Coturnix japonica: one gene and its partner. Each later gene encodes a partner of the first gene's protein in a complex. Links are inferred from orthologs where the notes say so. Each region holds a gene or a part of one and is shown on either strand. Other genes may lie near its edges.

Region 1 (4,389 bases):
AGTTCCACAAGGATCATGGAGTCCAATTCCTGGCTTCAATCATTTGTTCAATCCAATTGAAACTGAATAAGCCTGGTTTGTTATCATGTATTTTCCGAATTCTAGAATGTGTCCTATGACGCTTTTCTGCACTGTAACAGATATTCAGACTACATTTTATATGTCCCATTATTCACAATCAGTCAGTACCAGATTCTCAGAAATACTTGGTTTGAGGTCACTCTGCAAATGCACTACGGATAACACTCAGCCCTACCTGCTTTAGAATGAGGCATCAGCGTTCTCAGGTCTTGCATTAGGTGCCTTGTTCTGAAATTAATCCCACGAGAGGAGAAAATAAGCACCCGCTCCTTGTTCTTCCATTTACCCTAAAAAACAGACAAAAGCGTTAAACAAAAACCTTAATTTTCTTAAAGTTTCTTACAACAACACCCATTTGAACCGCAGCAACAGAAAAGATGAGCAAGAACATTCATAGCAATCTCATCACCCGCACAGAAACTCCGCAAAGGTTCGACTTCTGACATTACTGCTCACTGCAACGCATATATACAAAAGGCACATAACAACATTAAGAACTCCGCACACAATGGATGTTTTAATAAGAGGGCCCGGCAGAGGCACAGGCTGCCTTCAGATGAACATGTGCTGCGGGCTCGGGCCGCAATGTGCTTCAACGAGAAGCAGCAGCAACTACAGCCATTCCTGAGGCTCCTCAGAGCAACTCCGACACCAAGCACACTCATCATCCATAAAATCGTCTGCATAGAACTCAACTGAAGGCGTTTCTAGATTGTGGTAATACAGCTGAATCGATCGGCCAGAACAGCGCTTTTTTGTCAGCGCTTCCCAGGACGCTATTTCTGTTTGCAGTAACATAATTAGAATGGAACCGCTTCCCAGGACGCTGCTTCTGTTTGCAGTAACATAATTAGACTGTTACAGCCCTCACAACCCGCGCAGTGCCTGAGCTCCCCTCAGCGCCCCGACTCCCAGCGCCGCCCAGCTGGGCCCCAACGCGCCCCGCCGCTACCTGAGAGACCGGCGCCGGGATGCTGTACTCCTCCGGGGCCGCTCCGTCCGGGGCAGCCTTAGCGGTGGCCTCGTTCGCAGCCGGAGCCGCCTTCACTCGCTTCTTCGGCCTCGCAGCAGCCGGCAGCTCACGCTTCCTCTTGGACACCGCCATCTTACAGACACCGCGCCGTGCGCACCTCGCACTTCCGCCCGCTCGCCGCGCCACCGGAAGCGCCGGCGCAGCTGATAGCCGTGGCTTCAGGCCCCTGTAGGCCCGTGTAGGCCGCGCTAGGCCAGTCCGGTCCCGTTAGGCCGCGGTAGGCCCGGTCCGGTCCCGTCAGGCCGCGCTAGGCCCGGTCCGGTCCCGTTAGGCCGCGGTAGGCCCGGTCCGGTCCCGTTGGGCTCCAGGAGCCGGCCATGCCGTTCTCCACGCAGTCCCCCGGCAGCAGCGAGCAGTACGTCCTGACGGCCAGCCTGGATAACGCCCGCAATCTGTCCAGCCTCCTTAGGGCCGTCCACTTCCAGGATCATGCCACTTGCTTCGCCACAGACAACGGGCTTCGGGTGACTGTAGAGGATGCCAAATGCATTCAGGCCAATGCGTTTATCCAGGTAGGGTCTGGAGGCTGAGCTGCTTCCCGTGGTTAACGGTGAGAAGGGGCTGGTAGCAGCGTTAGGGACTCGAATAAGTGATGTGGTAGAACTGGTGTACAGAAGATGAGCTGTGGGGAAGGGGAAGCTTTAGTAAAGCCATAGAGTATTTGCAGAAGCTAATGTGAGGAAGATGCAGTGATTAGAATGTGGCCATTAATTAATCATATAGTGGTTGGGAACAGTCACATTGTCAAATCCTGCCATAGACAGATCATAAAATCATTCATGTTGGAAAAGACCTTGATGGGATGAGAGGTAATGGTATCCAGTTGTTCCAGGGGAGGTTCATGTTGTACGTAAGGAAAAACTTATTCTCAGAAAGAGTGGAGAGGTGTTGGAACAGACTACCCAGGGAATTGAAGTCATTGTCCCCAGAGGTGTCCAGAAATGAGGAGATGTAGCACTGAAGGACGTGGTTTAAGGAGTCTTGTGGGGATGGCTGATGGTTGGACTAGATGATCTCAGCAGTCTTTTCCAACCTTCATGTTTCTATGCTAAGTCCAGCCATCAACCTGACCTCCTCATTATCATTAACCCAGGTCTCCTAATGCCACGTCCACACATTTTTTAAGCACCTCCACCACTGCCCCAAGCAGCCTGGTCCAATGGTTGATCACCCTCTTCAGAAGGAGAGTCTTCCTCATACCCAATCTGTGCCTCTCCTGGTGTAACTTGTTATCATTTCCTTGTGCCGTATCACTTGTACCTAAGAAAACAAACATCTCCATTACTGTGATTATGTGTTAGGTAGTTATAAGCAAATGAAGAGATCTCCCAGTCACTGAAAATGTAAGACATGAGTAAGTTGTGAAGTAATTGGAAAAGCTTCACTGTTTTCATCTCTTACTTTTCTCCCAAAGGCGGAAATTTTTCAGGAGTTTCATGTTCAGGAAGAATCAGTCGTGTTCCGAATCAATTTGGCAGTTCTTCTTGACTGCTTGACCATTTTTGGAGCCAGTTCTTTGCCAGGTATAGTGTATATATATGTATATATTCCTTGACTGTGTGTATGTATAGCCTGTAATTGCACAGTGAAACCTGTGCTTGTCCATAGGTAGATATCCAGTCTTAGTAAAACTTCTGACTTCTTTACCTCAAGCTCTTCCAAGGGTGGAAGCTCTCATCCTTAAGAGGTTGGAACCTGCAGTTTAGTACTTGTTGAACAAGTGTCCCATTGCTGTGAACCATAGCAGAAGTCATCACATTGAGAGAGAGTACAGATACAGCTTGGAATTTCTTAAAATTTCTTAAAAGAAGCAAAGTGTTCCCTTTTATTATGGGGTCCTTTTTGCTCTTCAACACAAATGTTGAATTATATTCCTTTAAAAAAAAAAAAAAAAAAAAAGGGGAAATTTTGTTTCCTGGGAGGTTTTTTTTTCCTGCTTACTTAAGGAGTGTTCAAAAAGAAGTTTTCACAAGCAAAGTTTTCACGGAGCACTGGAACAGGCTGCCCAGGGAGGTGGTGGAGTCTCCTTCTCTGGAGATATTCAAGACCCGCCTGGATGCCTTCCTGTGTGACATGGTGTAGGGAGCCTGCTTTGGCAGGGGGGTTGGACTCGATGATCTCTAGAGGTCCCTTCCAACCCCTACAATTCTGTGATTCTGTGAAAGATTGTTACAAAGATAGTTAGGCTAGCTGTGTGGGTCCTGCAGGATGCACTATATATTCATATGGAGTAGTGTGAAAGGATGTGGGCTTTCTCATGCTGCTTTACCACTGGAGCTATGTGTTGAACTCCAGATTCCTCTGCTGTTACTGCTGTCTGAACTGAAGACCCAAACCTGAACTGCCCTGTGATTTTAGTAAGCTAAACATTCAGATGTTTAAGAAAAAGAGATTCACGACCATAGTGCGAGCTAAGCTGTGTTAAGTTTTGTTTGGTTGAGCTATATGACAGGAAAACCTGAATTTCCTGAAGTGATAAGATGCCCTGATGGACATTCTCTGAACAACATGTATTTCACACTCCTTTTCAGGAACATCAACAGCTCTTCGGATGTGTTATCGTGGGTATGGCTATCCCTTGATGTTGTTCTTAGAAGAAGGAGGAGTAGTGACAGTGTGCAGAATTAATACTCAAGAACCTGAGGACTTGTTAGACTTTAATTTCTGCAGCACCAATGTCATCAATAAAATTATCCTGCAGTCAGAAGGGCTACGAGAAGCATTTTCTGAACTTGATATGACCAGTGAAGTTCTGCAGATTACCATGTCTCCAGATAAACCATATTTCAGGTACTAGAAACTATCTAAACTTCAACTCAGATGTTCCTGCTCATCCTATTTGCTCTTCCCTTGGTGAGAAATGGAATTTTACAGAGTGAAGAGGAAAAGCCCTTAGGAGAATTAGAGTCTGGGGGTGTTGGTTGATGAAAGACTCAACATGAGCCAGCAATGTGTGCTTGCAGCCCAGAAGGCCAACTATCTTGGGTTGCATTGTGAGAAGTGTGACCAGCGGGTAAAGGAAGGTGATTCTGCCCCTCTACTGTGCTCTTGTGAGACCCCACCTGGAGTACTGTATCCAGTTTGGGGCCCTCAACACAAGTAGGAGATGCACCTCCCCTACAGGGATTGGCTGAGAGAGCTGGGATTCTTCAGCCTGAAGAAGAGAAGGCTCTGGCAGGACCTTATAGCAGCCTTCCAGTACCTGAAGGGGGCTATGCAGAAGTTGGGAAGGGACTTTCTATACAGTGTGCATCAACAGGATGAGTGGAATTGTC
Region 2 (4,317 bases), on another chromosome or scaffold:
TACTGCTTTGTGGCAGAACGCTGCTACCTGTCCAGTTCTTTAAAGAAGGCAACTGTGGCATCCCCATATCTAGTGGACTGAAGACTTCTGGCTCTGTAGGCTGAGAAACAGGTAATGATGGTGTTTCACTATAGTTCTCAGTACCATTCACCTGGATGTTGGCTTTTGATCCTATCCCTTTCTTGCACTGGCCGTGAGAATGCTGTGTGTTCTTTCCTGCGTGACTCAGCACATCCGTGGAGCGGACTGCACGTTCTTCTGAATTCTCAAAATTTAAAGGAGGAAATTTGCAGGCCACAGATCTCCGACAAGCTCTCTCTGCATGAAGCAAGCCAGAGCTGGCATCCTGATTCTGAGGCTTGTGAGAACCACGTTGCTTCTTCTGACACACTCTCAGAACCAATGACTTAGTTGTTTCAAATTGGGGGCACACCTGAAGACATAAGAAGAAAAAAAAAAAAACAAAAAACCAAAATGGTATTTTTCTCCAGAGGAACACCAACCTTATTCTACTCCCCCACCCATCCCATCTTTCCTCAGTGTGTTGATTAAATGGGTAAGCTGGCCTGCAGCAAAGCAAACTAGTTGTTATCCAAGCTGGTAAGCAGGAAACACCTCTGAACTTCAAAGTTCTGTTCTATCACTTTGATAAGCGAGTGGAGTACAAGTGAACTATTATGGCCCAAATATTCCTGAGCAACTATAGCTACAAATGGGAGTAATATGAAGATAATGTTCATTAGGCCTTCAAAATATTCCCCCAAAACATGCTTTCCTCAAACAGTTACTCTACAACACAAAGATTAACAGATGACCACAAAGTCAATTCTACTAAAATCAGCTTTCTGTCAAAGCTCAATAACCTATACTTCATTGAAAGACTTTGGGCACTTACTCAAGACTTGCAAATCCTTCTTTTTACAGTAGTCTTTATCTTCTGGGGTTTCAAAAGTCAGTCAAAACAGTCCTAGAGCATCCCAACCTGGATATCATTATGACAACCACAAACCCCTTTTAGCCTTCTCAGGTTTCTACACATTCCCTCAAAAACTAAGTGCAAGCTAATTATGGGTACTGACTATATACTGTACACCTGAACTGACTGAACCAAAGCCATTCTTTAGACAATCATGGCTCATGTTTCCAGTAATTGTATCCTAGCACAAACTGTACACAAGTGAACAACTGACCTGGACTTCCTTTTCAGAGAACATAGCACATAGGCTTTACCAGGAGCCTAACAGTCAAGAGGGTCTGAAAGAGCAGAAACCTCAATCTGAGTAGGAACTCAGTTGCCAGTGAAACCAAGTGATATCCATCCATAGAGAACAGTTCAGGGAGTTGTAAACCTACCAGTATGTTCTAACATCTAATAGCTTCAGTGCTATTGACTTCAGAGAAATCACTGGATATTTAGAACAAAGGACAACGTGGTTATTTGAAGCTCTTCCAAACAAAAAGCACACTTTATCACAGCAATTCTTTCATGCAGCATTTCAGAAGCCATAGCACTAACTTACCTATATATAAAAATTACATGGTAAATCTTTCAATTGCCATAGAAAGAAAGCTTCTTCCTCACCAGAATTAGATTTTCAGAAGACAAATAGAAACCACAGTCTGTATACACTATAGTTTTATGCCTTCAAATACCCAGGATTTTATTTTTTATATTTGAACATAAAAAAACTCATATGCACTTATTTATGCTTTAGGCATCTATAATGAATTCAGGTCCATGCTGTTGATTTTCATTATCAGGATACAAAACTTTCTGTTGAGATGTGAGAGAAACTTAAAAACCTGTTTTTGCAAGACACAGAGAAACTGATAACGTATACCAACCCAGGCAGCAAAGGTGTTGTGGTCTACAGGCTTTGTAGAAACACATACTGGATTTTCAGCCACACACAGTGGAGTTTCACAGCAACGGATGGGTGCCTCCCACTGACTCTCAATGAATACCAGCTCTGCCTTTCTAGTCTTCCGGGTACGGTTCTTTTTGGGAGGCATCAGACAATAAGATAAAACCGCTTTGAAACCTCATGATGCTCACTAGTACCAATTGGAGGAGGAGGAAAGCACTTTGATGCTCAAGCACCCTCAAATCTGTAGAAAATAAATAAAAGGAAATGGACTTGAACAATTATTTAGAAACCTCAGATAAAGACTTTGAACAAAACACTAGTACAATAACATGCAGATCTCCATATAGACTGTTACCTACCAGTAGTTTTTATATCTTTTATCAGATTCCAGGCAGATTTAGCATATATATATATATATATATATATATAGTAGAATGAGTAATTAAGTGCTTCAAAGCTTCATGAAGGCACAACCAAACATGTGATGGTAAACAGCCACACTGAGTTGCATAACAAACTTTATAACACAAAGTAGTTGTAGAGCAGGTACGTGTTACTTGGCTGGCTGGGTGCAGGGGGTTAACTCCTTCCTAGCCTGCACACCAAAAGGAGGTAAACATCTCTATTTATCAGGGGAATACATGCATATTCATGGTACGAGGATATTTTTCCATGTAGAAGCAGATTGACACTGGTGAGAAAATACCATGCAAGAAGTACATTTTCTTATTCAATATATAAAGCTACATAATAACCGCTTGCTACATATTATCAAAACAACTGACCAGCCCCCTTAACATGCCAGAAGATTTAGAGACACAACCTTATTATCCACCAACCAGTGAAGTCCAGATGCTCTTGGAGGTCTCTGTGAAGGCAGCTGGAGCCACGCTTTCCTCCCGGTAACACACAGCGATGAAGAGTCAAACCACAGAAGAGTCAAACCTGGCTGTAGGGTTGGAGCCTCACAGTCTCAGCTCGGATAACTCCTCTCGAAGCGGATAACGACCCTTAAATTAAGAGTATTTACAGGTGACCACAGCCCCACCGTGCTCAGCACCCACCCCATATAGTACATACCCATCAGCCCGCCCGGCTCGGCCCCGCCCGCCGCTGCGTTTCACTGGCCCGGAGCTCCACGTGATGGCAAGAAACCGCTGAGCGCCAAATTCAAACAGGGAACCGATGGCGATGGCGGGGGGTGGATCCGAGCCGGGCTGCAGGTGGTGAAGCTGGATCTTCCTTGCGCCTCTTCTGCTCGCCTGGGGAGGGGGTGAGTTGGGACCGAAGCTCGGCGTTCATTCCTTGTTGTACTGCGCTCTCCCGTTGTTTGGGCTTTCCCTGTGAGGAGCTGCGTGGCCCGGTGAGGTCTGAGAGTCCGGGAAGTGAGGGTTGTGGTTTACAGCGGGTGACGTAGGTTTGAGGGGATACTTGCTTCGTTCTTCAGTATCACGAGCTCTTTTGCTTCGTTCTCATCGCTTTATAGAGCTGTGAGCACCTTCCTGCTGCTGAAAACAGCTTTTGGCCTGTTTAGGAAGTTTCTGGCCTTCAGCTGCTGAGCAGCCTCTGGCCCCAGTGCTTCCTGCTCATAGAGAGCTCATCTAATGGGTGTTTGCCACTGTGTGTCTTTCCAGGTGATTCTTACTGTACCTGCATTTGTCCTCCACTCCTTTCTACTTTTCTGTTTCCCACGTCTTATACCAGCACTTAAATCCATTTTTGGTCAGGCTGTGTTCTGTTGCTTACAGCAGATTGCTATGTCTGTATTCTGGTTTCTCATCCCTCCAGCTTACTGGCTGATGCTGGTCAAGTAATTTCCCAGCTAAGTCTTAGCATCCCTCATACAGGTAGACATCCAGACGGGTCTTGAATATCTCCAGAGAAGGAGACTCCAGAACACCCCTGAGAAGGCTATTCCAGCGCTCTGACAGTGAACAAGTCTTTCTTTCTATTAGTATAGAACTTCCTGTTGTTCCAGTTTCTGCCTATTGTCCGTTGTTACATTGTTGCTTGCCACTGAGGCGTCTGCCCCCATCAATTTCACTCCTTCACTTTAGATATTTATAAAGAGTTATGAGATCCCCTTTCAGCCTTCTCTTCTCTAGACTGGAGAGTCCCAGGTCTCTCATCCTTTAGATATACATGCTTTCCTTGTTATTAGATACATAATGACATTCAACTTCTGATGCAAGTATTTACTCTGCGAATCCTGCTTCCACAAGCTGTTGATAAAGAGGTGAACTGTATTTTCCTGTAGCCTAGTCAACCTTATTATAAGCTTTCATTTTTGTTTTTCTTTCTCTGTTTTTTAGCAGCGTGGGGATTGCTGAGAATATAAGTGCTGTGAAAGACCTGTGGTGTGTTTGTTGACCTTTTTTATCTATTCCTACTGTCTGCACTCATATTGTGTTTTTGTTTTGCAGGACTTGTTCCTCTCATTTTCAATGGA

What was found.
Region 2: the proteins of RAD1 (region 1) and RHNO1 are in contact, whole or in part, in a crystal structure (PDB 6J8Y), measured with the Homo sapiens proteins. The link is inferred for Coturnix japonica from reciprocal best matches to the Homo sapiens genes RAD1 and RHNO1. Residues at the interface, in NP_002844.1 of Homo sapiens: Asn47, Gly48, Ile49, Lys50, Phe64, Ile65, Gln66, Ser149, Lys155, Ile157, Glu211, Ala212, Lys240, Val241, Ser242, Arg244, Gln254, Tyr255, Met256, Phe266, Glu268; in NP_001239428.1 of Homo sapiens: Ser55, Trp56, Val57, Ser58, Pro59, Asp60, Phe61, Asp62, Thr63.

What each region holds. Positions count from the first base shown.
Region 1 is NC_029547.1:9,684,479-9,688,867, reverse strand, and holds the start of RAD1 (cell cycle checkpoint protein RAD1), read left to right. Parts: upstream 1-1,300; 5' UTR 1,301-1,431; coding exon 1,432-1,626; intron 1,627-2,528; coding exon 2,529-2,637; intron 2,638-3,645; coding exon 3,646-3,904; intron 3,905-4,389. Other genes in the region: BRIX1 (ribosome biogenesis protein BRX1 homolog), read right to left, coding at 257-368, 1,034-1,186. UniProt on the Homo sapiens protein: Component of the 9-1-1 cell-cycle checkpoint response complex that plays a major role in DNA repair. The 9-1-1 complex is recruited to DNA lesion upon damage by the RAD17-replication factor C (RFC) clamp loader complex.
Region 2 is NC_029516.1:68,392,779-68,397,095, forward strand, and holds the start of RHNO1 (RAD9, HUS1, RAD1-interacting nuclear orphan protein 1), read right to left. Parts: upstream 2,948-4,317; 5' UTR 2,692-2,947; intron 2,110-2,691; 5' UTR 2,014-2,109; coding exon 1,846-2,013; intron 434-1,845; coding exon 1-433. UniProt on the Homo sapiens protein: Involved in microhomology-mediated end-joining (MMEJ) DNA repair by promoting recruitment of polymerase theta (POLQ) to DNA damage sites during mitosis.